Stegostoma tigrinum: one gene and its partners. The main gene of each other region encodes a partner of the protein of the gene in region 3 in a complex. Links are inferred from orthologs where the notes say so. Each region holds a gene or a part of one and is shown on either strand. Other genes may lie near its edges. The genes, in order: nup153, nup107, nup205 and nup93.

Region 1 (7,781 bases), on a different chromosome or scaffold from region 3:
GTGTTTCAGGTTACGGCTGGTGGAATAGAATGGATAGACAGCTGAAGACATTTTGAACCAAAGGCAAGGTAGGTGGAAAGTTTGTGTGGGTGAAACTTGTGGGCTGGGTGAGGTTTCAGAGATGACAATAGAGGATACAAAAAGGGATTTAACTGAAAATTTTAGAAATTAGGTGCCCGAAGGGTCAGGAGACAATGAAAGTCAGCAAGAACAGGGAGTATTAACAGTGCAACAAAGTATAAGTAGAACATAAAAGGTAGTTTTGAATGAGGTGATCTTTACAGGTAGTGGAGGACAAAAGCAGGCATGGACATATTTGCATCAAAGCAATAAAGGCATAGTTGAGTTTCAGTAGCAGAAAGGTTTACCCCATAGATGCAAGCGATATTATAGAGTACAGTACAGCACAGGACCAGTCACGTGGCCCACCAAGTTGCCATTCTAAACCAATCCCATCTGCTTGCATATGGTACATATTCCTACATTCCCTGCATATTCACATCTTTAAAAATATGACTATTATAAACTGCCAGCATGCTTCTACATAAATGCAGAACGTAACAAGAACATCTTACAGGTTAACGTAAGTGCTATTTACAATAATAACAATAATAATAATAATTATTTGAATTCAGAATCTCAGTTCAGATTTGAAGAGGTTGAAGTAAATCTGGGTCAGCAAGATTAAACTGGAGATCCAAATACAATGGCTTCAGCCTTGTTCTGACTGGAAGCTGACCCAAGACTGAGGATGATACCATCAGAAGGCAACATGCAAGTAAATAAAAGGAGGCTTCCATGGGTCTTCTGAACAAAGGCATAATGGTATAGGAAAAAAAGTAATCACTGGAGATAATCTAGTTACAATCATGTTAGGAAAGGTGGAACAAAGAAGTCCCATTTACTTCGAACCTGGAACACTGGTGCATTTTGAATTCCCAATTTTCTTTTGTGTACCAATGACACAGCTTCTACAGAATTCCTTTCACAAAATTTTCCACCTCACCCTCCTCCAAGAGGAGTTTTAAAACTTTGCATCACTAACTTCTATCTGATAACACTTTGTGAAGCTAGGTTTAAAGCACCAAATATATATAAGTTTAGTTCGGTAACTTGCAACGTGTTTAAAATGCAAGACTGCGATACTCTAAGACTGTGTGTACTGACAATGAGTTAGTGTACATGAAAACAAATAAGTGGCTGGAAATAAGACTGAAGAGTGAAAGATACAACAATCTAAGGGAGGTAGCAATAATATTTGAAAGGTAAAACATAAGGTGAGGTTTAACTATATAAAGAGTATACACAGCAAGTGTAACCATAATCCTTAAAGTAGTAAATAACTACACATTTCATAGATGCGGGACACACACAAATGCATGCTTTTAGCAGGTGAAATTCTTTCCAGAACAAAAATATCAATATGGTCCTAATGACTGACGTTCGGTTAGTGATACTCATTTGGGTCACAGGGTTTCAAATTTAAGATTCATTCAAAGTTCAGCATAAAAATCAAGACTGGCAGACCAGCTCAGCACCCAAATGTGTCCTGCACCATGGAGATGCTGTAGCCCAACTGCCCCTCAGGTGGATATAAAGGGTGTCATGGAACTGTCTCAAAGAAGAGCATCAGAGAACGATTACTTGGCCCAACACATTTGTTTGTTGAAGTTTTGTACGCACAAACTGGGTGTCAGGTTTTCTTTGTTACAAGGATGAAACTTTAATGACTGTAAAGTGCTTCAAGATGTCCGTACTTGCGCATTATATTTCATAAATTCACTTTTTCCCTCCCACATATTAACATCTGAGATCTAAGAAACAAGCATCTTACTGAAGGGCTGAAACAAGCCTACAGTGCCGATTATGCACTTCCATTTCGATAAGAATGCATCAGCATGGTTTGCAAAAGCCTATCACAATGAAGCAATACCCCCTCAGTATAGTTGGGAATGAAATATAAAAGTTGTGTGGAAATTATTTTTGAATGCCAAGTTTCTGAACACAAATAAGACCGATCTTCCAACCAAAATGCTTTCGGTTGTTTTTGATACTAACAACCTCATATACTAGTACTAATTGTAATAATTTTAAAATCAGACTGTTCGAATATAAATCCCTCAGGTAATATACTAGCTGAAGTTCAAAAAGCAAAGTGTCCCGTCAAAATGTAAATTTATTAAGAAGTCGGTGGCAACAGTTGAGTACTCCAGATACCGGCAGCGTGAAGTCCTCATGTCAAAGTCGCAGCTGAGCCACCCCCAAACCCACGATGATCGTAGAAGAGGAAACTGGTTAAAATGCAGTACACGAATGTACTGGCTAAAATCGCACTTGTACGCCAAACTTCCACAACAGGAACAGCAGTATTCGAAAATGTTATGGAAGACTCGCTTTAAAGGAACAAATCAAGTCCGCGCCAAAATGCCCATGGCGGCACGCGAAAAGGACGGAGACCGGAGCAAGCCGAAAGACTACCCAGTGAAGCTCAGGCCAGAACGGGAGATTGAAGGAAGAAAAACAGGGCAGCGTAGTAAAACAGGGGAGACGAAGTCGAGGGAAAAAAAGGAGAGAAAGTCGCTCTTACCAGCCGGCCGTGGGAATGCAACCGGAAGCGAATAACAAGCCGACAAGAAGCGTCTCAACAGCATTTATACAGTAAACACTAAACACAATGAAATAAATCCCAGAGGGGAGAGATCCATTGGGAGTTACAGCTCCGTCGTCAGCACCTTCTACCCGCCTCCAGCCTGTTTTTTTTACCTTTTTGAACAGGTCGGGCCCAAGTTTGGTCCCGACTCTGCCCTCAATCGCTCAGGCCGCTGAAGCCAGCCACTAGGCCGCGGCTCGCGCACACCGTCTCTGCCGAGAAAGCGGGGCTCACGACAGCCGCCTCCTCCTGCAACGACTTAGTTAAACCTAACGCGGTCCGGTTTGGCAATCCTTTCTTTAGAGTAACAACAAATAATAAAATAAAATACCTGGTTCTTAGCGTAAGGTTTGCTGATGATATGGTGTCTCTTGTTTCGGATTTTACCCCCCCCTCCTCCTGTCGCCGCCGCCATATCTGAATCCGTCTGCCTACCAGTCGCTCGCGCCGCTCTCTATTTCCTAGCAGCCGTGTCCGGGAAGAGGTGGGGGGGGAGGAGGGACGGAGAAGGGGGGAATCCACACTTGTAACGTCACACGCTTTCTACCGTCTCCCGCAACCACGCACTTCGCAACAAGCATTCAACCAACCATCCGCATGCGGGCGCGTTCTCGCTCACTCGCACGCAAGTGCCTTCCCTCAGGGGAAGGGTTTTTCCCCCAACGCACGATGCGCGCTCAAGAGACAGCATGCGCCAAGCCTGCGTCACCCCGCCGCCAGACGCTGCCATTGGCTCCGCCCAACAAACGGCCCGCAAAGCATCAAGGGAGCAGAAGGAAGATTAGCGCATGTGTTAACTTCCGCTTTGCCCTCGTCTCCCCACCATGTTTCTGTGCTTCTGGTCTTTAGACCAAAATATTTCTGAGGATGGAGATCGGGAGGGTAATACGGGTGTACGAAATCTACATTCTCTCCTCAGGATGTCCATCTCTGGCTCTACGAACGTGATTGACTTGAGCTCAAGTGGATCAGTGAATTTTTCAAAGGGATTCATTTGGCTACAGAATCTGCGTGCTGATCAGTTTCGTGCTTGAGGGAAGGGGAATTACTGACCAAAACTTACTCAAGGGAAACCAAGATTACCTTATTGAAAATGTGAAGTGTGTAAACGGTCATTGGTTTATTCCAAAATATTACTAGACTGAAATCAGACAGTGTTATCTAACATTGAGAAAGCAGCTACAGAGGGTCAAGAAAGTTTCGCCGAAATATTATGAGTCATTTTACATCACAACTGTGTCTCCACCTCATTACAGGCGTCATGGATTGCGTGTAAGGACGTTGGAAGTCATGACGAGTACTGTAGAAATGTAAAATTTAACTTTGTACTGATGCGAATTGACTTATGATTTTTGGCGTTTACTTATGTGTGTGGTGGCAGCAATCGTTGAATTTTTTATCCTCTGGTGATTCCAAACGCAACCTACTACCGATGCTGTAATTCAAGCAAACAAAAAAAAGTCAGGTGGCAGTGAAGGGGGAGAAATTAATTTGGTTCTAGTGAAAGTTCTAAACTCAACTTTCACTTATACGTTCTCCTTAAAAACCATATGACCATAAGAAATGGGAACAGTTGCAGGGCACATTGGCCCTTGATTGTGCTCTGCCTTATTTTTCACTCATTCAAGGGAATGTGGGCATTGCACGCTCGACCAGCATTTATTGCCTGTCCCTAATTTTTAAGTGCCAACCACATTGCTGTGCATCCAGAGTCAGATGTAGGCTAGACCGGGTAAGGACAGCAGATTTCCTTCCGTAAAGGACATTAGTGAACCACATGAGTTTTCCTGACAAGCAACAATGCTTTCATGGTCACCAGTAGACTCTTCTTTCATGTGTTTTTTTTTCATTGAATTCAGATTCCACCATCTATCATGGCAGGATAATAAATTTGATAGGAGCATAGCTCATGAGACAGTAAGATATAGGAGCAGAGTTACGCCATTCGAATGAGTTCTGCCATTCAATTATGGCTGATATGCTTCTCAACGCCTTTCTCCTGCCTTCTTCCTGTACGTTACTAATCAAGTTCCTATCAATGTGTCTTTCTTAAAGACAGTCAATGACTTACCTGCACAGCCTTTTGTTGTATCAAGTTTCACAGATTTACCAGCCTCTGTTCTGAGGGTCATTCTTTAATTCTGAGGCTGTGCACTCAAGTCCTAGTCTCCCCTGCAAGTGGAAACATCTTCTCCACATCCCCCCTCTTCAGGCCTCTCAGAATTCTAAATTACGATACCCCCTCATCCTTCAAAACGCTATCTAGTTCTTCAAACACTTGTTGTATGACAAGCCGTCCATTTCCAGGATCATCCTTCTGAACACTCCCCCCCGAGGCAGGGTCATCCTTCCATACGTACAGGGCTCAAAATTGCTCACAATATACCAAATATAATCTGGCCAGAGCCTCATACAGCGTCCTTAGTACATTCCTGCTTTTGTATTCTATTCCTCCTGAAATGAATGCTAACATTGCACTTACCTTCTGAACTGAATCTGCATGTTCACCTTGAGAATCCTGAACTAGGACTCCTAAGTCCCGTTGTGCTTCAGATTTCCAAAGCCTTTCCCCAGTTTACAAAGTAGTCCAACATCTATTTTCCCTATCAAAGTGCACAGTTTCACACTTTTCCATATTATATTCCATCTGCCACTTCTTTGTCCACTTTTCCAGCCTATCCAAGTCTTATAGCTTCCCTCAACGCAGCCTGCCCCTGCACTTATCTTTGTGTCATGTGCAAATTTACCAACTATGCCGTGAGTTCCTTTGTCCAGATCATGATGTCTAACATGAATAGTTGTGGTCCCAACACTGACCCATGTGAAACTCCATTGGTCACGAGCTACCATCCTGGAAAAGATCCTTTTATGCCCACTTGCTGTCTCCTGCCAGTCAGCCAGTCATCTGTCCATTGCCAGTACCTTTCCCAGAACACCATGGGCTCTTATTTAGCAGCCTCCTGTGTGGTACCTTGTCAAAAGTCTTCTCTAAATCCAGAGAATCCCTTACACTGACTCTCCTTTGTCTAACGTTCTTATTGCTGATGCCCACTTTCCTCTGTTTTCTTTGTAACCCATCATTCCCCTACCGATCAAGAATCTATCTGTCTCAGCCTTAATTATACATAAGGAATAACATTAGTTCTTAGTTTAACATTTGTTGTTAGGGAATTACTAGACTCTAAATTCACTTATACAAAGATTGAACACCTTTAAAAGTTTTTTAGATTTGTAGCTTGGGTTGTGGATGAGTTTGTAGACTTGCTCACTGAGTCGATCGATTTGTTTGCAGATGTTTTGTCACCCTGCAAGGTATCATGGTCAGTGCGCCTCTTGTGTAGTTTTGGTATTCTTTCCTGCTTGTTATTTATATGCCTTGGTTTACTGGGGTGATTGGCATTATTTCCAGTTCTGTTTTTCAGTGGTTTGTATATTGGGTCCAGTTCAACGTGTTTATTGATGGAGTTCTGGTTGGAATACAGGTCTGCATGAATTCCCTTGCATTGAACACCTTGAATTGTTTCAGTTGACCCAAGAAAGATTGCACAGATCTACCATAAGGTGAGAATTGGGAATGTTTGGCAATGATTGCACATTGGTCACCAATCATTCCTTATCAGCTACTAAAGCAGTCAATATCCATATGCAGGAAGACCTAGACAACTTTCAGCATTGAGCTAATAAGTGCCAAATAGTATTCAAACTGCAAGTACCATCTTGACTTGTAACTGTAAGTCCTTCAATTCCAAGGGGTCAAAATCCTGGAACTCTCTAACACCCCAAGAACTGCTACAGTTCAAGAAGGCAGCTCAGCATCACCTTCTCAGGGGGAATCAGAATGGGCAAATAAATGTCAGTCCAGCCAACAACAGCCACAACCCACAAATGAATAAATAAAATTACACTAGACAAACCTGATTCAATTTGATCTTCATAGTTTTAACCGTCAACTTGAATATTGAGTCTGATCTGGGCACCATACTTTTGAAAGACCTTAAGTCTTCAGAAAAGATGCATAAAAAATTTAGCATAATGATTCCAGGGATGAGGAACCTGAGTTACTTTGACAGATTTGAGAAGGTTGAGAGAAGATTTGATAATGTATTTGAAATCAGGAAGAATCAAGACAGAGCATCTTGGGAGAAATGGTCTGCTGTTGGAGAATGATTGAGAACAGAAGGATACTGATTTAATCTGAGAAGCACACAAACCAACAGCAACATGCAGAAAAGTATTTTTATGCAGTAATTGACTAAGAATTGGAATGCATTGCCTGCGAGTGATAAAGACAATTTTGACCATGACTTTTATAAGGCACATTTACAAGGCGCCTAATTAGATAAGCACCTGGAGAAGAAAAGAATGCAATGCTACAGGGAAAGGATTAAGGAACGGGACAAGATGAGTTGCTCTTGTGGTGAGTGGGCAGATACTTATTGAGCCAAATATTTGCTTCTTGTATAAGAACAAATCAATGATTTTATATTTTGCAGAATTAACTGAAACAACGGACGTAGGAATATCTATGGATGTTGTTGTATGAATTTCCAAAAGATGTTTGATAACTCCTTATTAGCTAAATTTGAAACTCATGGAAGTGTACACAATTGTAGTTAGGAAATTGGTAGAGTGGGAAGAGACAGAGTAGGCCTGAGTCATGACTTGCGATATTCCACAAAGATCTGTGTTGGGGCCTAAAGGCACATCTATTAAAGAACAAAGCCACAAATCCAGCATACATGCAGTTTAAATATGAACATATTCTGAATAAACATAATTATGGAAAATAATATTTACAATGAACCTAAAAACTTCAGAACATTATCCATGATGAAAAGTATCAAGCAGTGAAGGTTCAAAGAGATGTGGGCGCTGTTTACATGGATCTAAAATATTAGAAATTAGAGTAGCAGATGGAGTTAGAAGAACTCAAGTTAGTCAATAAAAAACCCTTGTCAGATCACAATTGAGAGTAGTGTGAGTAGTTCTGTGCACATCTTAGGATAAATTGCATTGCAGGGTACACAGTGTAGTTCAGCATTTAAATACATTAAAATGAAATCCAGAATCCAAGGATGAAATTATGAAGAAAAACAGAAAGTGATTTGTTCAAAGTTTAAAATATTAAGGA
Region 2 (7,881 bases), about 34 Mb from region 3:
CAGGGAAGGGGTAAGGGATAAAGGAATTTGAAAAGAAAATGAAAATTTTTGAATTTTCAGGTTTTTTGAACTGTTAGATTAGCAAGCACAGGGCCAATGTACAGAGAGTTTAGAGAGGGGTATGAGTTAGAAAGCTTTGGATAACCCAGGTTGACAGAGTCTATACTGAGGGAGGCCAACAAGGAGACCCTTGGCATAGTCAGGTCTAGAGGCACATCAAGGCTTCAGCAGATGTACTCAGAAAAGGGTGGAAACGAGTGATGTTACAGAGTGGCAATAAGCAGTCTTACTGGTTCAAAGGTTAGTTATCTTAGTCAATACTTACAGAAGTCTTGGAATATATGAGCTGTAGCTCGAGTAGCTGATAGCAGATGTAAGCTGGAAGGGCCTTTAGCGTGCTTCAGTACTTTGAGAGAATAAGTTAAGTGAAGTTGGATCTGATAGTTCACAAACAGTCATCACTTCTTTCCAGCAAATCTTTATTAGTACTTGTTCTACATTAGTACCAGTTTGCCCAAATTAAAACACAAGTGATATTCAAACTGCTATTCTTCAAAACTGCTGCACTGCCCTTGCATCAATACTTTCAAAAGCGGTCGACCATGACATAATTATTAATCACCTCAAATAGTTAACTGAGACTGAAGCACAGAAACAAGCCCTCAAGTACAAGTAAAATACAGTGGATGCTGAAAAACTGAAACGAACAGAATACGGAAAACCCCAGCACAGCTGACAGCATCTGTAGAAGGAAAATTAGAGTTACTATTTTGAATCTGATATGAATCCTGTTCAGCGTTTCCTGACTTACAGCTAGCTTACTATCTATTTTTCCAACTACCTCAATTTCAAAGACTCGTGACTAAGGTCAGAATATATCGTGCAGTATCTTAATTAAGGTCTGTTGCAAACTTTATATATCCACCGAGTTACCTGTTACTCTTCCTTCAAAGGATTCAATGGGTTTAATGATATTTTTGCCTAACATGTTGTAACTCTTCTCCTTCTGGATTGTACATGACTTGTGTCTTTAAGTAAAAAGGCCATTATTTTTTGTTTATATTTTCCTTGACTTGTTCCTATTTTCCTTAACTATGAAAGCAGCATGGTCTTTTCACTGGAAACCTTGCCCACATTTGAAGATGTGCTCTTCAACTTTACGAACGTGTCATTCAACCATACAGATTAGGGGTAGGTACAATGTCATTTCAATAGACTCTCTCCAAGTCCAACATTCTCTCTTAAAAGTCACCCTCCAACACTATGTTCATAGAAACAGATCCTTTTATGCAGATTCTTACCCCCATAAACAGAAGTGCTCTGTTCGTGCTATATTAACAGTTTTGATCATCCTCTAGCCTTTGCCTTTGAGGTTCCTCAAAGCTCTATTCTTTGCCCCAGTTTTTGTTTCTATACGAAATGATTCTGTCCATCTTTCATTCAACTTCCTTCAGATCACATGTTCAGCATTTACAATATCCTGTTTTCTTGCAGTGCCATGGATCAATCCAATGTCAGCCATCCCATTTACTAAAACAAACAAATTCTCATTTCTTCTGATTCCTCAAAAACAGCTTCATTCTGAGTCTTTCATGTGGTTACATGACCAGAGGATTTTACCTCCATGAGCCCCAACCTTTCTGTCATGGAGCCAAGAATGTCTTCAAACGTGATAATGAATTTTCACTGTTGCTGGCAGTGTATTCAAGAAACTGTCTATTCTCTTTTCTTCTTTATCACTCCTGTCTTTCCTTCCTTCAGTAGTAATTAAGTTAATTATATGTACAGAACTTGAGAATTGCCTACAAAAATTTAGTCAAAGCTTTTACCTTGAATGTAGCAAGAAAGATGAGGAAAAAAAAACAACTTTCATACTATATTGAGGAGAGTGGGGAGTGATTGACAAGTGGACTGTAATTGGTTGAGGTACTGCCATGAAGAGTGCACTCATGGACAAAATGATTTATGAAAGCCCCAAAGTAAGTTATAGATTACAATAAAGCTTACTCTGCCACAAGTAGACTCAGAGATACCGATTGTGCATTATGCTGATCTTTGCAAAAATACAGAAATAAATGTCTGGAATACATGGAAGAAAAAAATGCCTATTTATGTCTTTCAATTCACAGCAGGGAGGGAAAGATCTCCTTGCCCTTGATCATCCCTCTGCCATCGTTTTAAAAAAAATCCTTTGAACAAGATGCGTCCAGCTCCATGTTCCAAAGGCGGCTTCTTGGTGGGTTTATTCTTTTTGAAATATTGATCATTATCTTCAAGTCCTTCCCTAATAAACATCAGACCATAATGCTCTTGTCCAATGAAAAAGATAGTTTCCATACTTCATTCTTTAAAAATAGCAATATTCCTGAGTCACAAAGACAACTTAGTAAACTTACAAGAGAATGCAGAAAACAAAGGAAACACAATATTTCACATAAAAATATAGGTTAAATGTTACCATTGGAGACCCGTTGGTCAGAATGGCATAAAGTGAAAAGGATACTGTCAGAACCTTTTTTTGTAGCACTGCGCCTCAGAGAAGTTCTACTAGTTTCAGAGCTCCGGACTTCAGGAGATGGGAAATCTCCACTTGTCCGTCTGAAATAAGAAGATCCAAAAGTTTAGAAACCAATGCTAAGATTTTAAAGGTAGCTACAAAACCTCATATTAATACACAATTCAAACTAATGTTATTGTTCAATAACTTCCTTCTAAACATGACTGAAATTAAACCATTGATTTGTTACTTGCTTTTTTAGCTGAAAAATAAAGATCAAATTCAAGTTAAATATTTTAAAATATACATATAACAAATATATTGCACCTCCATCTAAAACATTCTTTAAATTCCACAAGACCTCAAATGAAATCTTCCTGCTACGTTGTATTTGCCCTCAACCACACATCTAACTCTCCTAATCACCAGGCCAGGGTCTGAGATTTCGCTCAGTAGCTCAAGAAACACCTTTTCATCCCTTCCCTCCACCTACAACCTCTTCACTACCCCTTCCATTCTCTCACCACCCCCTTCACTCCTGACCCCTGCAGTCTCTACCTCCTATTCCTCCCCTCACTTCTCCAATATTCTTCTCCGTCCCTTCCTCCTCCTCCAACACCCACTCTCCCTCCCCTTCTTCTCGCCTTCGCCTCCTTTCCCTGTCCACCTTCACCCCCATCCATCTTCCCCGATTCCTCTCTCTCTCTCTCTTACACAAGGCCCTGGACATAATTCTGATAGAAGCACATCTCACGTGGGCGCTGAAACAAAGGTCGATCTTCCTACCTGTCCAGTGATTCCTGCCATACTTGCGACATGTTGAGTGCCGACAAACTACCGCCTGTTGATCCGTAAAAGCACCAAAACTACACCTCCACTTTCATCGGCGCGCGCTTCAACGGCCGCGTCCTTCGCAGTCAAGAGGTAACAGATTCCCTCCGGATCTCAGCGCCGCTTCGGGCGCCCCCTGTGGTTGGCGAGCAAATTGACATACACTCAACAAGCGTTTCATTACATAGACCGGAAAGAGCAGGAATTAGGCCATTCGGCCCATTGAGTCTGTTCCGCAATTCAATCATGGCGGATAAATTTCTCAACCCCATTCTCCTGCTTTCTCCCCATAACCCTTGATCACCTTGACAATCAAGAACCTATCTATCTCCGTCCTGGCCTTCTGTGGCAATGAATTCCATAGATTCACAACTCTCTGGCTGAAGAAGTTTCTGTTTATCTCCGTTCCAAAAGGTCTTCCCTTTACTCTCGAGCTGTGTCCTTGTCTCTCTGGATAATGGAAACATCTTCCCACTGTTTATTCTGTCCAGGCCATTCAGTATTCCTCCAGAATCCCTACAGTATGGAAACAGGCCCTTCAGCCCAACAAGTCCACATTGAACCTCAGATCATCCCACTTAGACCCATCCCCCTATAACCCACCTAATCGACACCTCCCTGAACACTACAGGCATGGACAATCAACCTAACCCACACATCTTTGGACCATGGGAGGAAACCCACGCAGACATGGGGAAAATGTACAAACGCCACACAGGCAGTCACCCGAGGCTGGAATCAAACCCAGGCTCCTGGCACTGTGAGGCAGCCGCCACCATGACACCCCAATTTCAATTAGAACCTTCCCTCCATCCTTCTGAACACCATCGAGTATAGACCCACAGTCCTCAAATATTCCTTATGTGTTAAACCTCTTATTCTTGGGATCATTCTCGTGAATTTTCTCTGGACCTACTCCAGGGCCAGTACATCCTTCCTGAAGTATGGGGCCCAAAATTGCTCACAATAGTCTAAACGTGGTCTGACCAAAGCTTTATAGGCTCAGAAGTAAATCCCTGCTTTTACGGTCTAGTCCTCTTAAAATAAGTTCCAAAATTCACCAATCCAATACTCAGACCTCTTATTGAAGAGGCAGATTGTGTTTGGAGGGTTGAATAAATAGTTTTTATTTGGGAGGTTTGTGTGCTATGCTCTCTCCAAGACCTCAACTTTGGGTCTGTGTTCCCAATAAAGTCTACTGATGTAAGTTGTACCTTCCAAAAGCTTCTCCACATTGGTCAATTACAAGTCAGGGATTTAAATGAGGCTCAGGTTTTTTGACCTCTTCAGGGATGCTCTGAGGATGTCTCTAAAGAAGAGAGAAATTCCATTTCCCTCCTGAGATTCTCATGTCTCAACCATGTTATGAGTAGAGTAGTTGCTTCGAGAGCCTCGTGTCAGGCATACAATGATTTCTGCTGCTCAGCAGGGCTGTTTTTGAATTATTAACATCTTAATTCTGGGCATGTTAGCTTGGGAGACAATGCTGCTATCATTATGTCTTTCTTGCCACTCAGTTTGCAGAATCTTGTGAAAGCACTGCTGGTGGTACTTGTCCAGTTTAACTACCCCATGTCACAAAGTTAGACTGTAGCTATATCTCATCTAACTCTCTCTCTATGTCACTGCTACTCGGTCCCCAGTGGCCACTTGAAACCTGCTTCTTGTCATTATCCAATATGGGAACATCACATACAGGCAAGCAATCTGACAATTTCAAAGATGAGCTTTTATTTACAGCCAGCAAGAGCAAACACAGCCAACACCAATAGAGACTGTGTTTTATCTCAACAATGACAACCAAATGTTGACATGATAACCAATGACTAATTTACAATCAATGATGTCCTTCTGCATTTAGCTCGCATCGCTTGAAACCTGGTGTCAAAGGTCCTGTGGGGCTTGTAGTGCTTGACATACCAAGTTAAGTCATGGACAAAGACAGCTTTCTTCTCTCTGCTGTCTTCATCTTCCTTCTTGGAAGGCTGGGTCCATTCTTCCAGTTCCTCAGCTTCTATCACATCACCTCATTGCCTGCTACAGCTGTGCAGAGCACAGCATAACTAGGTGATGCGACACACTCTGCTGGGACTGTACTGCAGGATTCCACCCCATTCTTCCCAAGACCAGTCCAAGCAGTGGAATCTCATCTTGAACAACCCTGTTGACAGTTCCAGTATGGCCATGATTGAAGCTTTATATCTGTGCTCCACGTCAGACAGGAGTTTAACTAAAGGTGCCATGAACCATGGTCACAGTGGCTATCCATTGCCCCCCAGTAACCAGACTTGTAATGTACCTAACTTCAAACATGCCAAGTGCATGAGAGTACCCCAGGATGTAGGAGTTATGGCTGCTACCAGAGTAGTGGATAAACACCTGCAGAAGTGGTAACAGTAATCATAGATAACCTGAACATTAATCAGGTGGAAGCCATTCTTGTTTATGAATTCCAAAATATTGTTACATGACCCTCAGTGCCACATGTGTGTAGTCACTGACACCCGTGGGAAGGCAGCTGTGTTCCCATTATTTTACTGCCCAGACTGCAGCGCCAACCTCATCATGAGGAAACAAAATGAACTGGTGTGACCTTGCACAGATGGCATCAATGTTCTGATGCATTTGTGGCTGCACGACTGAGATATCCCAAATAGGTCATACCGAAATTCAAATTGACTGTCACTTTCACCAGGAGAAGATGGCTTTCTGCAGCTCTCAGATCTCACTCTAGCAGTGAGCCCGGGACATATAGAGCCTGTGTGATTACTGTGCCTCAATTATTCACATGAAAAGGTGTCAAGGCCTATGAATCCCATGCATCCTAAGGGGTTCTGTTACTATAACCTTTCACCAAGCTGGGTGCTCCTCATTTACTGCAGGGGCCTGCTGCTATTTCTAGGTTCACTGTTGGCCCTGGTCCTTCTGCATCCTCCTTCACTTTCTTAGGAACGTAGCCACAGTGACCGAAATCTACAAACCGCATAGCGCAGGACACTCAGAGGAAATGACCTAGTTTTGGAACACAAGAGCCATTTATGGCATACCCTGCAAAGAAGGGCTGAAAATACTTCTCGATACAGTGAGACATGATGCTCCCCAATTATTCATTCAGCTTCAGCCTCAACTTGATGAAAGATGGTTGAGTGGCCACATTACAACAAAAGGGATCACTGGATGTGCTCTGACCCTCTTCCCATCTCAGACCCACATCATCCATTCAACTTTTCATTGCACTAGTTTGGATGATCATTAAACTTATTTGATAGATGATGGGCCTGTACCTCCCACTAAACCTTTGGAAGATATAGAACATAGAACAGTACAGCACAGTACAGGCTCTTTGGCCCACGATGTTTTGCCGACCTATTATCCTACTAAGATCAAATTACCCTGCATACCCTACATTTTTTATCCTCCATGTGCCTATCAAAGAATCGCATATATATTCCCATGTAATACATTTGTTTGTTGCACAAACTTCCAAGGTCTGTGAATGGCAGCAACTACCAAAACCAGAAGTTAACATGTCCAGCACAGCAGTCTGCGTGCACAGACCCTGCACATGTTAATGTAGCCATGCAGCTTAGTAGGAAAGTTGTTTGGAAATTGCACAATTAATGGTTCACCTTGCATAATATTGACCTCTATCTGAAGTCATTGCTGCTGTCTTCTGCATCACTAGGACATCAATATTCCATTTGCAAGGACCAATAGCGAGGCACAAATCACTTTTGACCAGCATTTGAAGCCCAGGCATGTTCATTCGTCAGACATTGCATTGGTTAAAGAAGCAATTGCAAATTAAATGTAGGTGAAGTTTGCAATCACCTCCTTCATGTATTTGCCACTTCAAGTGCTGGAGAGCAGGAGACATGGATCCTGTGCTTTCATCCATCAAACGGACAGCACTTCACCCATCCTGTGCCATGTCCCAGTCACTCTGCAGTTGCATTTCACATCTAGAGAATGGCAAGTGGATGGCAGGGAAGGCAGCTCATCACCATCAGCACCCTGTTTTGCATGGCTGCCAGGTACCCACCCTACCCCTAGAGCTTCCATGTCTCCTTTAACATTACACTACCCCAACAAGTTACCACCAATCTCCAACACACCTCCCACACTCTCACCAATGAGGAGATCCAATACATCAAACGCTACCAAATTTCCTCCCTGCCTCCTGAACACTGATGTTATACCTTAATGACATGCACCCATCTCCTTTATAGTGCTGGCCATTTCCAGCAACCCCCCCATATGTTGCTTATCATGCCCTTTGATGCTGTTGGACACATTCCCCATATACCTTAAGATCACATGTCCATTACTATCCTTTTCCCCACCTTTTCAACTGCATCTCACAGCTTTACTTATCCGTCCTCAGTTGGTCTCACCATATAAATACAGTGGCTATAACAGCATGTCAGAGGCGGGGAATCTTACAATGAGTAACTCACCTCCCGACTCCCCAAAGCTTCTTCACCATATACAAGGCACAAGTCAAGTGTGTGATGGAATCCACTTGCCTGGATGGGTGCAGATCCAACAATATT
Region 3 (7,470 bases):
ACAAGAACCATAGCAAAGGATTGGAAGTTCAATTCTCAATACTTTCAGAGAGCTGGCCTGTTAAATGATACATGAAAACATATGTTGGAAATACATCAGTCCATTGGAGACTGGAGGATTTTGTGGTTGGGTTTCTGTTGATTTACCAGGCTTTTTACTTGAATTCTCAACTCTGCATGGATTTTTTTTTCTTAAAATAAGGTGAAACTGAGACGGACCTTCAGGCCTGCTGTTGCCTTTGTGTAGCTGATAAACCTGTTTGTGAACTGCCTGCATGCCTCCACTGATAGAAACTACAAAATAAACAGGAATGAAAAACTCACCGGATTCTTGAAGAGAGAGATGAAATCTGGCTTGTGCTTCTTGAGTGTGAGGTCCAACAGGTGAACAGCTTCTGGAACACGCTTCCAGATCACATTCTCCACTGTCTGCCAGATTTCTTTGTACGGCCCCCACAGACTGGCAGCTACAGCACACAAAATAAAAGCCAGTTGACGATTTGAACATTACTCATTCACGGCCACCTTTTTTCAGGAAAATCCTAAGATATGTAAGGAGTTAGATTCAGTAAGCCTCATGAGGTGAAAATTGGCTTGTGTGAGAATTTTGTATTCAGCCATAATGCCCTTCAGCAAGCCATGAAAGAGGAACATAATTCAGGGGCCTCACTCCACAGAACAGCAAGGAATTCATAAATATTAATAAAATAGTTTCTATTAGACATTACTACTGACCCAACTTTTAAGATCCTGAGCATTCAGGACTGAGGACCTTACTCATAAAGCAGACACCCAAACGAAAAGAGAATGAGAATACAAAAATCCTCTGTACCATTTGACCAGTACACCAAAAGATAACTCAAGCACATTACTGAGATGCATAATACTCAATGAACCATATACAACACTGTACATTTCAACCGAATTGTTTCAGCCAGGTTTTAGATTTTGAAAAATTTAAGCAAATTTTTTGGGCAGGGAGAACAGTAAAGCAGCTCTTTTTAAAACTAAGTAAGTTATGTTGAACATTGTGAAACTCTGGGTGAACTTGCACATGAACCACAGGTAACATTCAAGTAGAGTAATTAGCACGGTATGGCCTTGAGTGCAAGGGAGTTAGAGTAAATAGACTTTCTTGTGATTATATGAGGCTTTAATAAAGCTGTATCCAGTATGGTGCACAGATTTGGTCTCAGTACACAAGAAAGGATGTTCTTCCTTTCTTCAAGATTGAATGAAGTTTAGGATTTATTTCTAGCATGACTGTTAGCCTATCAGCAAAGTCTACTTTTGCTTGAGTTCCAAAGAGGTGATTGCATTGAAACATACAATTTCTAAGAAGGATAAACAGAGAAGATGCTGAGAGGCTGCTCTCCTCAATCAAGGATCATTGTCTAACAATGAGGAGGTCAGTCAATTATACATGAAGTCAGGAGAAATTTCTTCACCCAGAAGGCTGTGGAATCTTCGTAATTCACGACCTGTATATTTTTGGCTGTAGATGTAAACTAACCAAGGCACCAAGGGAAGCAAAAGGAAAATAAGCTGGAAAATGAAATTATGTAGAAGATCTGCCATGATGTTATTGGATAGAATGTATCAAGTGTGTGTACTCCTTTTACTTATTAATTATTTGGCAATATGTTTGGGTATTTCGCACATTAAAATATGCTGAATAAATGAAACCTTTATTCAATAAGGCAAATAATTTCTAAAACATGATGTTCAATGATTTTTGAGTGTTTCAGATCTTGAATTTGCAGTTCAATCAATTTATCTGCGAAAAACAACCTACTGTACTTAAGCATAATGTAGAAAATCACATTAGCCGAGAGGAGAAAACTTCAAACAACGTTATTTGAGAAGTATTTGCTGAGCAACGTGAAACAATTGATAAAAAAAAACTTTAAAATCTAATCTTAACGTTTGACACAGGTCCACAAACTTCTAAAATTCTAACAAGACAAGACACGACAGGGTAAACATACCAAGTAAGTTCCCAATGACTGGGGAGCCCAGAACCTAGTCTAAGGAGATGGGCTCGGCCATTTAGGAGATGAGAAAAAATATATTCATAGAAAGAGTGGTGAGCCTATGGAATTCTCTGCCCTACAAAGTGTTTGTAGCCAAAACATGTTTTGAACAAGGAGTTGGATAACAGTATAACTGCTCCTAATTCAGCTGAAATTCAGATTCCTTAGCTTGTGCAGCAACTGAAAAATATTACACCAACAAATAGGACTACAAGATAGAGGAGCAGGATTAGGCCATTTAACAAATGGAGTATAATTTACCATTTGATCATTGCTGACATGCTTGTCATTCCTATTCTCCTGCTTTCTCCCCATAGCCCTTGATCCCCTTACCTATCAAGAACCTACATATCTTGGTGTTAAATACATTCAATTACTTGGCCTCTACAGAGCTCTGTGACAATGAGTTCCATAGAGTCATCACTTCAAACTGGGACAGTGTTCTCAAGTCCGAGTCTCTCCATTAGTGGAAAAAATTTCTCCATGTCCACTCTTTCCAGGCCTCTCAATATTCTGCAAGTTTCAATCCCATCGTGCCCACCCAACCACCTCCCCTACTTTTCACATGGTCCCTGTCCCTCATTACTCTATTGCCCCCACCTTCCGCAGCCACCCTAGGCCTTTCTTGCTTCCTTACCCTCCCCTCCCCCGCCCTTTCTCCCAACTGAATTGTTGTCTTCATTTGAAGATGAAGAAACGCGGCCTGGGGTCGGGTGATTGTGGGTGAGCTGGGGGCTAACTGGCCCCCCAACGTTAGAGTCAGACGGTTGAATGAAAGACTGAAAGACCGACCTCCCTCCCTCGTTGTGGGTGAAGGGCGGACGGTGAGGCTCGCGTTTTGTTTCCCCCGTCTTCACTCACTGACCTGAATTTACCGCCATGGTCCTGGACGCCATCTTGGAGAGGAACCGGAACCGAAAACCTCCAGGTTGTCGTGGGGTGAGGAGGAAGGTTGTCCTTCACGCCAAACAGCCCAATCGTGCCCACACACCGTGATCAAGAGGCCACCCGTCAACTCTCGAATCAACGGTTACCTTCCCAACCCGCGATCTGCCCACAACCGGCCCTCAATCGAGCGGGTTTGGGGGAGGCACGTGACCGTTCCCACAATCCCGGACTACAACTCCCAGTATACCTTCACGCCACCACACCGGAAGTAACCCATTCACCACCCCCATCTTCCCCCAATTAAAATATTGCACCAAATTTCAATGAACGAACCTTTTAGAAAAAGCGCGATTTTCACGATTGCATCAAAGAAATAGTGGTTTCGATACAGTAAGAAATTGTCGCGAAGAGATGTTTGAAAAATGTCTGGGAAGCCAGCCGTGGGAGCCAGTTTCTGGGAAATGTAGGCCGCTAGGCCAGGTTTGCTTGATTCTGCGACGAATAGACTACATGTCCCACAGTGCACGGTGGACGACGGACCCAGGGGCGGGGCTCCGAGTGAAAGGGTAACGGTTGCCGGTGTATGGGTCGGCGCATGCGCAGTCGCCTTTCTGCGCAGACTCCGTCTCGCGTTTCCTAAGGGAGAGGAGAAAAAAAGATGGTGGCTGGTGTGTAAATTGGAGCAGTGCCGGAGATATATAATTATATATCAAATTATCCGCAATACAGAAGTGGAGGAAGCCATTCCGAGCAAGAAGACAGACAGAGGAAGGGGTGGGGACGAAACAAGGAAAATCAAGCCCCTTTCCCAGAAAGCTAAGGCCAGCAGAGAAGCAGACAGATCCAGGGAAAGGACAAGAGCGTTGGGAGCTCCTGCTGAGTTTGAACTGTGAGTCGGTGAGGGCTGGGAGGGAGAGAGACTTGGGGGAGCCAGGCACCCCAGCTATTTACTACTACCCGGAGGCTTCAGCGATACAGCCAGGCCGCGCTGGCCTGCCTCTTCCCACCGCCACCCCCCCCCACCCCAGCCACCAACCATCCCTCCTCCAGCATCACCGGGGAGCGGCACCACGCCGTGGATTCACGGGCAGAGGGGGGGAGAGCAGGCCAGCCGGCCGGCTTGGGAGAAAGCCTGTTCTCTTCAAAACACTAGAGAGTTGCAATTGCTTTGAATGTGGTGAGAGAAGAGGAATTCGCGTGTTTTTTCTTAGCCTCAACCGTTCAGGGGTACCTCCACGAAAGGGTTGTCCTTCCTTCTCCAAAGCGCAATTTTTATTTCTCCTTTGTATAATCCCTGGGATTGTGAATTTGCAGTATTTCGTTCTTTTTTTAAAACCTAAAGTTCATTCGCACCTTTTGCAACTACGTTTAGGGATGGGCAGCGTGTCTAACTTAGCGGGAAGTCTTATTCTATTTTTGCTTTTGAGCAAGTAGGCATGGAACAGGCCAACACTTCGCCTTAGATGTTACTTCATTGTTAGCAGTTGGGAGGAGTTTATATAAATGAATACAAGGTATGAAGGTTGTTATTTATTTGTCTGGGAATAAGTACAGGCATTTTTGCCCCTAAAAGATGTTCAGTAACCATGAAGAACTTTCCAAACAAATATGACTCTTGTTTTTTTTTAATGTTTCATACTTTTTATCTTGGTGATTACAAAGGTTTGATTGAAATTAGATTTGTTCAGGTTTAATTTAGGGAAAATCATGTATGTGTTTCTGAGAATTACAAGTGATGTTTTATCTTCAAAAACAAAATGTACCAATGAGTTTTGAAGCAGTATCTCGAGCATAAGAGTTTGTCTGTAAATTTTTAGTGGGAAATGGTAAGCAAGAGCAGTTAGTCTGATCAAATTGTGAAATAGAATACAAATTGTGTAGAATTTTTGTCAACATTTCTATGTCCCTGAAAGAAGGAAGAGAGTGATTATTACAATTTTGGGTTTGAAATTCTGAGGCTGGGCTTGCATGAGAAGTCAGACAAATTGGGGGTTACAATGGAGGAATGAAAGCATCATATTGCATATATTGACTTTAAACAAAAAATATATTGATACAGTTGTGTATGTACCCGAACCTTGTCGTGATGATCTGACTTGACTGGGTGCTGTCCTATTTCCATGGCGCTCTAAATCTAATGCAAATTGTCATTTAACACTTGAATTTGTAAAACAAAATACTCTCAAATTGCAACTGACTCTTGCGAAATCTAATGTAGGGTAGTACCTGTTGACAGCCTTGGTTAACTGAATAAACATGGTGCTAAATAAAAACTAAAAGACCTACAGATGCTGTAAATCAGGAACAAAAACAGAAGTTGCTGGGAAAGCTTAGATCTGGCAGCATCTGTGAAGAAAACAGCAGAATTGACGTTTTGGGTCCAGTGACTGGGCCCAGAAATATGGTGTTATCTAGTATTTGTCATCGAAGAATGATCAACCTTTGCAGCAGCAACAGGAAAGTTAACTGATTTTCTGGATTGCAAAATCTAATCAGGGTGAATAGTTTGTATTGTTATGGTGGTTAAGAATGTTTCTGCTGTGTGTTTATGCAAATTTTGTTCAAATGTATCATAATGAAGGGATGGTGTCCACACAAATCTTTGCCTCACTTACTTTCTCTCCCTTATGCCAAGACGTTTTGCTCATTGCTGTGATACAGTGCTGTCGTATTTGATCTGGGTGGTCATAATTCATGTGCAAGGCTCACCAGGGTGCAACAGGAGACACAGTATTATTCTCCCCACCCAAACGTGATGGTGCCATTTTTGAAGTACACCAAGCTGATTCCATTAGTTTAGTTCAAAGAAGGCATTCAATCTGGGATCTTTTGCCATTGTGATTGAGGTGTTCAGCAGAACTTGGTGAACCTGTACAAATAGTTTAACTGACATATAAAACAGATTTAAAAACTAACTTGGCTACTGCAGGTTGTCTGTTTCGTTGTGAGACCTAGCAGTGCAATTCTGAATTTTAACATTGAGCTTTGTTTGGCTGGTCTGTCTGTTGGGGTGATATTTCAGCAAATTTGTTGGCCCAACTAAGATGGATTAATTTTGGCTGTTAACGTTAGTCTGAGCTGTTTTGTGTTTTTAAGTTACACTGAACCTGTACCATGTAACATAAAAATACACATTCGTTTTCTGCACTAGTGGTTTGTGTTGTTTCTGAAAAACACAGACCAAGTCCCAGTAATAATGGTTTATTTGTGTTTCATTTATTCCTACAATACAAACAAATTAGGTGCACAGTTAGGCTTTTTGGTTGCTTGAGCCATTTTCACCGTGCAATGAGAACGTGGCTGATGTGAAACTGTAAATTCTCATTACCTACAATAAGCTTCCATGTTTCTTTACCAAGAATCTCTGCTGTAATATTCAAAGACTCTGCTTCCCCTACTGAGAAACAGAAACCCATAGATTCATGAACCTCCAAAGATTTCTTCTCACGTGAGTCTTAAACAGACAAGGTCTTGTTTTGAAGCAGTGACCCCGAGTTCCAGATTCTTGCACAAGCAACTTTTCCGTAAGTAATATTGAGGGGGGTTTGACTCACTGCATGCTTTAATCAGGTTACTTATTCTTCTGAACAACAGTGGCTACAAGCCTTGCCTTTCAAATTTTCTTAGTAAGATAACATGCAGAGTTCAATTTGAGTATGGTAAAAGTTTTCTAAGATCATTCAGAAGCACTTAGATTCTTCCTTAATTAAAGACACCAGTAATGTGGTTTCACCAAAGTCCTGTACAATGAAAGCATAATCTTTTACATTAGTATTCAGTGCCCCTCTTAATAAACAATAGCATTAATTTAGCTTTCCTAATTATTTGCTGTCTGTACATACTTAATCTTCCGTTATTTGTGTACCAGGGCACTCAGTTCCATCAATCTCTGATCTCTTACCATCTAGAAAACATGTTGCTATTTTTGTTCCTGATACAATTAGACACTTTCAGATTGTAGAACTGGAACAACTGTCCTTTAAGCCCTGATTTGGGGAGAGGGAAGCTGGGCTAGGGGTTTCTTATCATAATTCAGAATTGTACTGGGAAGAAGTATGCATGAATGAATGCTCAATTATGACAGTAGAATTGTATAGCTTCGTGGTTGAATACCTTGCTGGCATTCAAAGTCACCAGAGGAAGTACGATCTCTTTGACCAAGCATTAGAGTGTACCTGTCTCAGTGCAGGTCTGTGCTTCCAGTTGTGTATGCAGACAGGGTAGTGAATAGTTGGAATGATTGAAAATTTTGTTGCACATTTTGTAAGATTTTGCACAGTGTCTTTGAAATTACAGCCAATCTAACAAGAAATAAGAATGTCTGAAATTCATTTTGTCACATCACATTAAATAGGTTCTCTGGCTTCATAGCCAAAAGCTTTTGCAAAATCCCCATCTTAATATGTACAAGTCATGCAGTGGACTGGGCCCTGCAATTGCCACCTATTCGCTGTGCTTAACTGATTTGACACAATTTCATTGCCTTGGAGGACTGAAAACTGGAAACACCATGAAAGATTCCTCTCGACATCAGCATTGTTAATTGTGTG
Region 4 (7,863 bases), on a different chromosome or scaffold from region 3:
AATTTTTAAATCATTAAGAATGGTTCCTAATTTTAAAATCTTCAATTAAGTTCTTTTGCATTCCAAAGTTATGCTTATGATCCATCTTCTCATCACTAAAGCTGAAGTCTCATTTAAAAAAAAGACAGCTGTTCACTGTTACTTGTTACACACGACACCAAATCCAGCCCCTTAAACATTCACTGTCTGCACCATTGACACCACCTGGCAACAGTTTACACGTTAACATACTAAGGTTCCTTAGACATCACCTTCCAAATCACACTTTGTACCACCTAGAAGCACAAGGGGAACAAATTCATAGGAACACCACTACCTGCCTGTTCTCAATCAAACAGAAGGCAGTGGAGGCCAAGTCATTGAGTGTATCTTGCACAGAAGTGGATAGATTTTGATCGGCAAGGGAGTCAAGGGTTACAAGAAGGCAGGAGAATAAGGCTGAAAAACATATCAGCCATGATCGATGAAGAGTGGAGCAGCCTCAATGTGCTGAATCATCTAACTCCACATCTATATCTTATGATCTTATAGTATGGCATTTAGTCACTCCTAACAAACTGTACACCTGCATTTATGCCTCCTCACCTCTTAATTTTATTATGTTATATTTCTAAATTCAGTTGTTTTTCATTAAAGATGTTACTTCACAATTCTTGACTAGGAATTCATTTACAACAAACCTTCCTAATTCACCAATCTTGCTACACGCTTCTTAAATCTTTCAAATATATCCTCAATTTTTCAGTTAAATTTTCTAATATCACAGAAAATATTGCACAGGAGACTCTCACTCCAACAACCATACCAATGTTAAGTTTCCAAATGACACTAACCGATTATCTCAATTTACCGACATTTGTATTATTCCCTTCTTAAAATCATGGTCAGTTTCAAGAACACATGACCATCCTTGTCTGAAACAACCTCCCAATTGACCTCACACTTAAAGAAATTTTGCTGAAAATTTATAGGCATCGGAGAGATATCTGGAATAATATATACAACCCTGTTTTCCTCAGTCAAAGAAGGACATATTTCCCCCCTTCAAAGGGGATGAAATAAGGTTTTGTTAGATTTATTGATGCAATGAAAGAATTGCCCAACAGGAGATCATGTAGATGAGGCTATAATCCCTAAAGATTAGGAGAATGACAGCAGATCTCATTGAATCATGCAACATTCTCCAAAAGCTTGACAGACATGCTGGGAGGATGCATCTGTTTGCTGCATAATCTAGAATTACAAGGTGAAAGTCCAAAAGTCAGAGTTGGACATTTGGCAAAGAGGAAAATGTCTAAACATAAGGACTGTGTGTCATTGGAATTTTCTACCCTCGGCATCACTGATAGGTCAGTCAGAACATATTCGGGGAAGATATAAATAGATTTTGGGTAGTTGAGGATTAAAAGATATGGAGATAGAGCAGGAAAATAGAATTGCCTTAGACCAGTCCCAATCGTATCAAACAGCAGAAAAGGTTCAAAGAATCAACAGCCTATACCTCCCATTTCTTAATCAGTAATAACACTGGTTTGTGTGTGTCATTGCTAACACATCTATTTCAGAGAGATAGTCCAAGACAACACAGTGTGGACCTGGAGGAACACAGCAGGCCAGGCAGCATCAGGGGAGCAAGAACACCAGCATTTTGGGTCAGAACCCTTCATCGGGACCGAAGAAGGGTCCTGAACTGAAACACCAACTTTCCTGTTCCTTTGATGTTGCCTGGCCTGCTGTGTTCCTCCAGGTCCACACTGATGTCTTTTACAGATATGTTTTCACTGATTATGAAGATTCCAATATTTAAAACTTCTATTTGATCTCCCCTTCCGACCTGGAATTTCACTTCCAGTGGAAACATCTGCATTCTTTCATAATCTCTCATGTGATGCCTTTCAGTCAAATCTTCACTGCACCTTTTACATGGCTTGAATATAAATTGGGGCATATACCCCAACAGTAACAACTGTTCTTAGAAAATTTCTCAATTTTTTAAATATTTCTCAATATTCCTACATACATAAGGGGATGTAAACATCTTTATTATGACCTCATGAGTGCATACAGAACTTCAAAGATCAACACGTATAACCCTGGATCTCTCTGTCCCCCTCTGCTGTTAGGAATACTATTTAGACACTTCTTTACATTTATCATTTCTTCTCTATACACGTTTGTCACTTCTCTACTTTGAGACAGCACTGACATTATTTTAAAATTTGCCTATGCCTTTCTGCAATCTTCCTCAGATCATAATTCCTCAAACTCAGTCAAACACTTGTTGCTCCCCATTTGCTGTCTTGGATGGACCTGGATTTGGACTCCCCTGCCCTGTCAGGGGAGGGGATATGTTTAGTATCCCCCCCCGCCTGCCCTGTCAGCGGAGGGGATATGTTTAGTATCCCCCAATGTCCAACCTGGCTATCACTTGCCCAGTACTGCCATTACCTCTTATCCCAGCCTGTCTCCTCATAGTCCCTAGATACCCCTGTCACCAGTGCCCCGTTAGCATTCGTCCCAGCACCACCCGCATTACTACATCTCCATACCCGTTACCCCTGCCCCAGGTGTGTGTCTATCTGTCTCTCCCTCCCTCCCGGTATCTCTCTGCACAACACATATTACCTCTCTCTTCCCCAACTGTATTCGCCCTCGACCCTCAGGATCATCTATCTCCCCCGCCCCCGTACTACCTATGTCCCATCCCCATCCCTACCCCGCATTACTCCTGCCCACCAAGTACTCCCCCCATAACACCATTGCCCTAGTATCACCCTTTCCCCCAATATTTTCCCGTTATTACCCCCTCCCCAGTTTTACCTCATCTCTCTCCCCCCGAGTATGCCCCCCTTGTTATTACCCCTTACCCCAGTATTACCCCTCTACTCGCCCCCCGATATAATACTCCTCCATCACTCAGGTACTACCCCCACCAAGTATTATCCCCAGAATTCCCTCGTTCCTCCCGAGTATTGTCCCTCTAACCCCCATGTTACCCTCTCTCTCCCCCAGTATTAACCACTCCCTGGTATTGGCCCGGGAATCACCCCGCTCCTAGCAATTACCTCTCTCCCTCGGATCGGGCCTGTTTTCTCGATGAAGCAGCTGCCGCCTGCACTTGGCCGATACCCAGGCTGCTCCGCGAGCTGCTCTCCCATTGGCTGCCCTCAACAAACATCCGCCTTCCCATAGGTTCATCAAGCGTCACGTGCAGCTACTGGCGGTACTATTGGCGGAAGGTCTCGGCGGGCCGGCCGCAACAACCAATCAGAGAGGCTCCGTTGATGAGACTGTAACCTCACGAGGCAGAGGTGAACTCAGTCAAACAGAAATTAAACGGTGTGAGGGTCGGGGGGACCGGAGTGACACGGACCCCCGGGGGGTGGGGGAGGATCTGGAGTGACACGGACCTGGGGACCGGAGTGAAACCGTCCCATGTCTTCGATAACGTAGTGTAATGAACAAGTGTAATAGTTAATCTAGCAAAATCGACCAATGATCATAAAGTCCAATAGATAATGCGTTGAAATAACCAAGTGTAGTAAATATAAATATCCACTATAATTGATTATACAGTATAATAAAGCAGTGTAATAGATGTAATCCAGTGTACTAGATATTACACTCATAGATAAAACAGTTAAATAACCCAGTGACATAAACCAGAGTAACAAATAATATAGTCAAATAATAAGTATAATTGACTCTCTGGTGTAATAACGCAATAAATTAGATATTACACTGTAATAGTTACTACAGTCAAATAACCCAGTGAAATAGACATCAGTGAAATAATTAATAATTCTATAAAACCAGAAATAAATAACCCAGAGTAATAGATAACCTGTTGTAATAATCCAGTGAAATTACTCAGTATGGTAGATAACCCAGTGAGTTTGACAATTGAATTTAATAAACCAGAAAACTAAATAAGTAAAATAGATAACCTAGTGAATGTACAAGCCTGTGAACTAGCCCAGTGATATTGGATAACCCAGTGAAAGTAATTACCCAGTGAAATACATAATCCACCAAATTAAACTGTAAAATAGATAATCCAGTGAAGTAGAAAATCCAATTGAATGGATAACCCAGTGAAATTACCCATTGAAATAAATAAATCAGTGAAGAATGTAATCTAGTGAAATAGACAACCCAGTAAATGCATAATTTAGTTAATTTCATGATCCAGTTAAATAAATAACCCAGTGAAAATAGAAAATCCAGAGATACATATGTAGTCTAGTTGAATAATTAACTCAGTTACACAGGTAACTCAGTGAAATAACTAAACCGTTTAAATCAATATCCCAGTGAAATAAACTAATGAAATAAATAACCCACAGATATAAATTAGCCAATGCTGTAAATAATCCTGTTTCATAAACTGGTAAAATAATCCTTTGAAGTGATACAGTGAAATAATCCCATAAAATAAATTAGTCAAAAAATATCGTGTAGCAAATAAACTAATGACAGTAAATTAGTTTTAAAAAATCCAGTGAAACAAGTAACCCAGTGAAATAAACTAGTGAACTAAATCATGGACGTAATCCAGTGCAATAAACCAGTGAAATGCCCGGTGAGATACACCATTAGAATGACGTTATGAAATAAACTAGTGAAAGAACCCTGGGAAATGAAATAGTCTAATAAAGAGGTTGACAGGCCTGCTTTTCCTGTTAAGTTTTAAGTTGTCGGTAAGACGGCTAGAGAAGCTGCATAACTTAGGAAAGGGTATCGGCAGCAGAAATATTTCCCAGATATTCTGATACTTCCCTGAAGCTGCTACAGCTTGTTTGCCGGAGGACCTTATATGCAGGAAGTGTTGACAGCTGTAAGGATTCAACCTCCTGGTTTTGGGTATTGAACAGCAACTGCTGAGAGTTGTGTCAGCTGCATGTTTCTAGATGTGGCCACCCTGCAGGTTAAGAGTGCACAAGTAGATAGAGACAGCCGAGGAGGATAAGGCAGGAAGTGCATCCTGTTCTCCAGCAGATATTACATTTTGTATCTTGGTGTGAGTGATGGATCATCCCCAGGCATGCAGTCAGAGCCAAGTGTGTGGCAACACAGCTATCTGCTCTGTGCAGATATCATATTACAGGATTTGGTAGTAAGGGAGCGAACAGGATTTTCTGCATCTTCGGATGTGCATCCAGGATGATATTTCTGCCTCCCTGATGCCAAAATCAAGGATATCGCTAACCAGCTGCCGAGCACTAAAGGGAGCGGGTGAACAGTCAGCTGCTTTGGTCTACATTGATACCAACTTAGGCAGAAATAGGAATGAGATCCTGTATTCAGGCTTTGGGAAACTAGGAAGGAGACTTGTGGTGTGGACCTCAAATGTAGTAATCTCTGGATTACACACAGTGCCAAGAGGCATTGCACATAGAAATAGGAGAATAGATCAGCGGAATATGAAACTGGCGAGATTGTGCAGGAGCTTTAAATTGTTGGTACATTGGGTCATGTTCTATGCAGGCTGGTTGAGTTGCACCGCAACACGGCAGGACCAGGATCATGAAATGTGTTCTCATGAGCTGGTTCATAGTCTTGGCAGGGGATTGAGAACCAGAATGTGACATTAGAAAGGAGAAAGAATGTGCACAAAGGTTTGACAGACAGATAGCATAGAGTAAGAAAACGTAGATGTTATTTGGGGATCAGTACACGATGAAATGCCAGAAGTCTGAATTATTAGAAAATAGATGACAGGTTAGACAAAGGATCTTGATCGGCACAGGCTTGGAGGGCCGAAGGCCCTGTTCCTGTGCTGTTGGTTTCTTTGTTCTTTGTATTTCTGTGCACAGATGTAAATACTCCTGTACGCCAAGAGAAGCAGGGAAAAAAAGGAGTTGGAATGACACTATTGATTAAGGTTACAGTGCTGGAGAGAGGTTGTCCCTAAAGGGATCAAGAACAGAATCAATTTCATTAGATGTTGGTACCATTGCAATACTAGGTATGTTATATAGTTCATCAAATAGTCGGAGAAGATACAGAGAAGCAGATTTGCAGGGGAAATACAGATTAATGCAATAACGGAATAAAGATCATGGTGAACTTTACTTATCCTAATAGAGTCTGGGTAATAATTTGGGTGAGTGACTGGAACAAGAGTATAATTGTGAATCAATGTTTTTCTTTATACTGAAGGAAGGTGTACAGTGGGGTTTCTCAGTGATCAGAATTAGAGTCTCTTTGAATTGAATTGAATTAGCTTTATGGTAACATGTACTCAAATGAATACAGTGGAAAGTTTATAAGGTGCCACTTGTGGTGCCATCTTAGATACCTAGTTACAGATTCTTCATTATATTAATGACTTAAACGTGGGTGTTTGGGTATACCTGTTGCAATGAAAGTTACCGCAGGAAAGTGTGACATGATGCATTTCGGTACAAAAAAATTGAGGGCTCAATTCAGAAGGGTCATTGACCGCAAAACATTAATTCTGCTTTCTCTACACAGATACTGCTAGGGCTGCTGAGATTTTTCAGCAATTTCTGTTTTTGTTTCTGGGTTCCAGCATCCACAGTTCTTTGTTATTTTTTCTCAGTTGAAATATTGTGTCCAATTTTAGACACATATTTTGGGAATAATGTGAATGCTTTCGAAAGGGTGCAGGAAAGATTTAGTTCCAGGGACTTTTGGGACTTTAGTTAGTGGATCATTTGAAGAATTGCTGCCTGTTCTCCTCTGAGAGGAGAAAGTTAAGAGATTTGCTAGAAATATTCACAATAGATAGAAAATAAGCCAAATGTGGAAGGAGAATGGCCAAGAGAACAGCAATTTAAATTAAAATGCAAAATGCTAACATAAGGGAGAACTATTTTACATTTTGAGTAGTTTGGAATTTGAACTATCCAAGAGTGGGGTACAGGAAGTATACACTGTGTGTAATCCAGAGATTACTACATTTGAAATCTACACCACAGCTCTCCTTCCTAGTTTCCCAATAGTGGTCTAAAAAGCAAAATTGGAAATCCCAAAAAAAAATCAAAAACGCAGGACTCCGGGAGAAAGGGTGAGGAATGTTGGGTTAGCTGAGTTGCCTTTGCAAATATTCAACAGGGGCACAGCAGGCTGAATGGCCCACTTCTGTGGTTCTATGATTTTACATAATCTTTCATCAGCGTGGCAAGCCTGGCTTCACATATGTGTCTCGGAAATCAGGCAGATTCGAAATGATCCATTTTGGTGAGGTGAGCCAAAATTTCATTTATTAGACATTTGGACTCCCCAGTTGTGTTCAATTGTCCTCATTTCTGGCTTTCCCGTTCTTCTACCTCTGCATGCACCATGGGAAGATGTCAAGGGTTGATAATGTGGACCTGTTAAGTGAGTGTTGAAATGTACAGCATAGCTGCTTTTGATAGAGCTGGGCCTAAGAGCTTTTACTCTCACTTACCTTTCTTCTCCTCATAAATAAAGTTTGTCAAATTGAGAGACATGTAAGAGTTCAAATCAGTACTTTGAAAACAGCTAATAAAAGGTAAGTAACTTTTAAAGGTTAATTAAAAGCTAAGTAGATGTAAAAGTAAACTTATTTGTGGGAACAAAGTGTCCTAACTAAGAATATATCTGTAAGCTGCCAGCAAAACAAATTGCAAGAACAACATCACAATGCTGTGCTGGCATGACTAAAAACCAAGGGTATATGTAATTAATTAAAAGCAGTGTGCAAATCTCACCTCCAGCTGTGACAAAATCATGATGGGGATGAAAATAAGCACAAAAAAAGACACGCTGGACAAAAGACATTGAATAGACAATGGATATATATAAACTGTGAGATTCACCTGTTTCATTTTAATTCCAGTATGGTGGAGACTGACAGCCAATACTCAGCATGAC

Evidence for each region.
Region 1: nup205 (region 3) and nup153 share a complex: the UniProt entries of both Homo sapiens proteins name them as parts of the nuclear pore complex. The link is inferred for Stegostoma tigrinum from reciprocal best matches to the Homo sapiens genes NUP205 and NUP153.
Region 2: the proteins of nup205 (region 3) and nup107 are in contact, whole or in part, in a cryo-EM structure (PDB 7WB4), measured with the Xenopus laevis proteins. The link is inferred for Stegostoma tigrinum from reciprocal best matches to the Homo sapiens genes NUP205 and NUP107. Residues at the interface, in XP_041443600.1 of Xenopus laevis: Gly1247, Gln1248, Arg1249, Pro1250, Ser1458, Arg1506, Gln1507, Leu1983, His1991, Gln1995; in NP_001091312.1 of Xenopus laevis: Gln134, Glu136, Pro189, Tyr282, Tyr283, Gln770, Ser772, Phe773, Thr774.
Region 4: nup205 (region 3) and nup93 share a complex: the UniProt entries of both Homo sapiens proteins name them as parts of the nuclear pore complex. The link is inferred for Stegostoma tigrinum from reciprocal best matches to the Homo sapiens genes NUP205 and NUP93.

Annotation. Positions count from the first base shown.
Region 1 is NC_081355.1:33,648,630-33,656,410, reverse strand, and holds the start of nup153 (nuclear pore complex protein Nup153), read right to left. Parts: upstream 3,248-7,781; 5' UTR 3,066-3,247; coding exon 2,982-3,065; intron 1-2,981. UniProt on the Homo sapiens protein: Component of the nuclear pore complex (NPC), a complex required for the trafficking across the nuclear envelope. Functions as a scaffolding element in the nuclear phase of the NPC essential for normal nucleocytoplasmic transport of proteins and mRNAs.
Region 2 is NC_081371.1:37,317,966-37,325,846, forward strand, and holds the start of nup107 (nuclear pore complex protein Nup107), read right to left. Parts: upstream 3,414-7,881; 5' UTR 3,316-3,413; coding exon 3,284-3,315; intron 2,599-3,283; coding exon 2,504-2,598; intron 407-2,503; coding exon 326-406; intron 1-325. UniProt on the Homo sapiens protein: Plays a role in the nuclear pore complex (NPC) assembly and/or maintenance. Required for the assembly of peripheral proteins into the NPC. May anchor NUP62 to the NPC. Involved in nephrogenesis.
Region 3 is NC_081371.1:3,290,815-3,298,284, reverse strand, and holds the start of nup205 (nuclear pore complex protein Nup205), read right to left. Parts: upstream 3,121-7,470; 5' UTR 2,929-3,120; coding exon 2,898-2,928; intron 467-2,897; coding exon 324-466; intron 1-323. UniProt on the Homo sapiens protein: Plays a role in the nuclear pore complex (NPC) assembly and/or maintenance. May anchor NUP62 and other nucleoporins, but not NUP153 and TPR, to the NPC.
Region 4 is NC_081369.1:15,168,463-15,176,325, reverse strand, and holds the start of nup93 (nuclear pore complex protein Nup93), read right to left. Parts: upstream 3,153-7,863; 5' UTR 3,066-3,152; intron 1-3,065. UniProt on the Homo sapiens protein: Plays a role in the nuclear pore complex (NPC) assembly and/or maintenance. May anchor nucleoporins, but not NUP153 and TPR, to the NPC. During renal development, regulates podocyte migration and proliferation through SMAD4 signaling.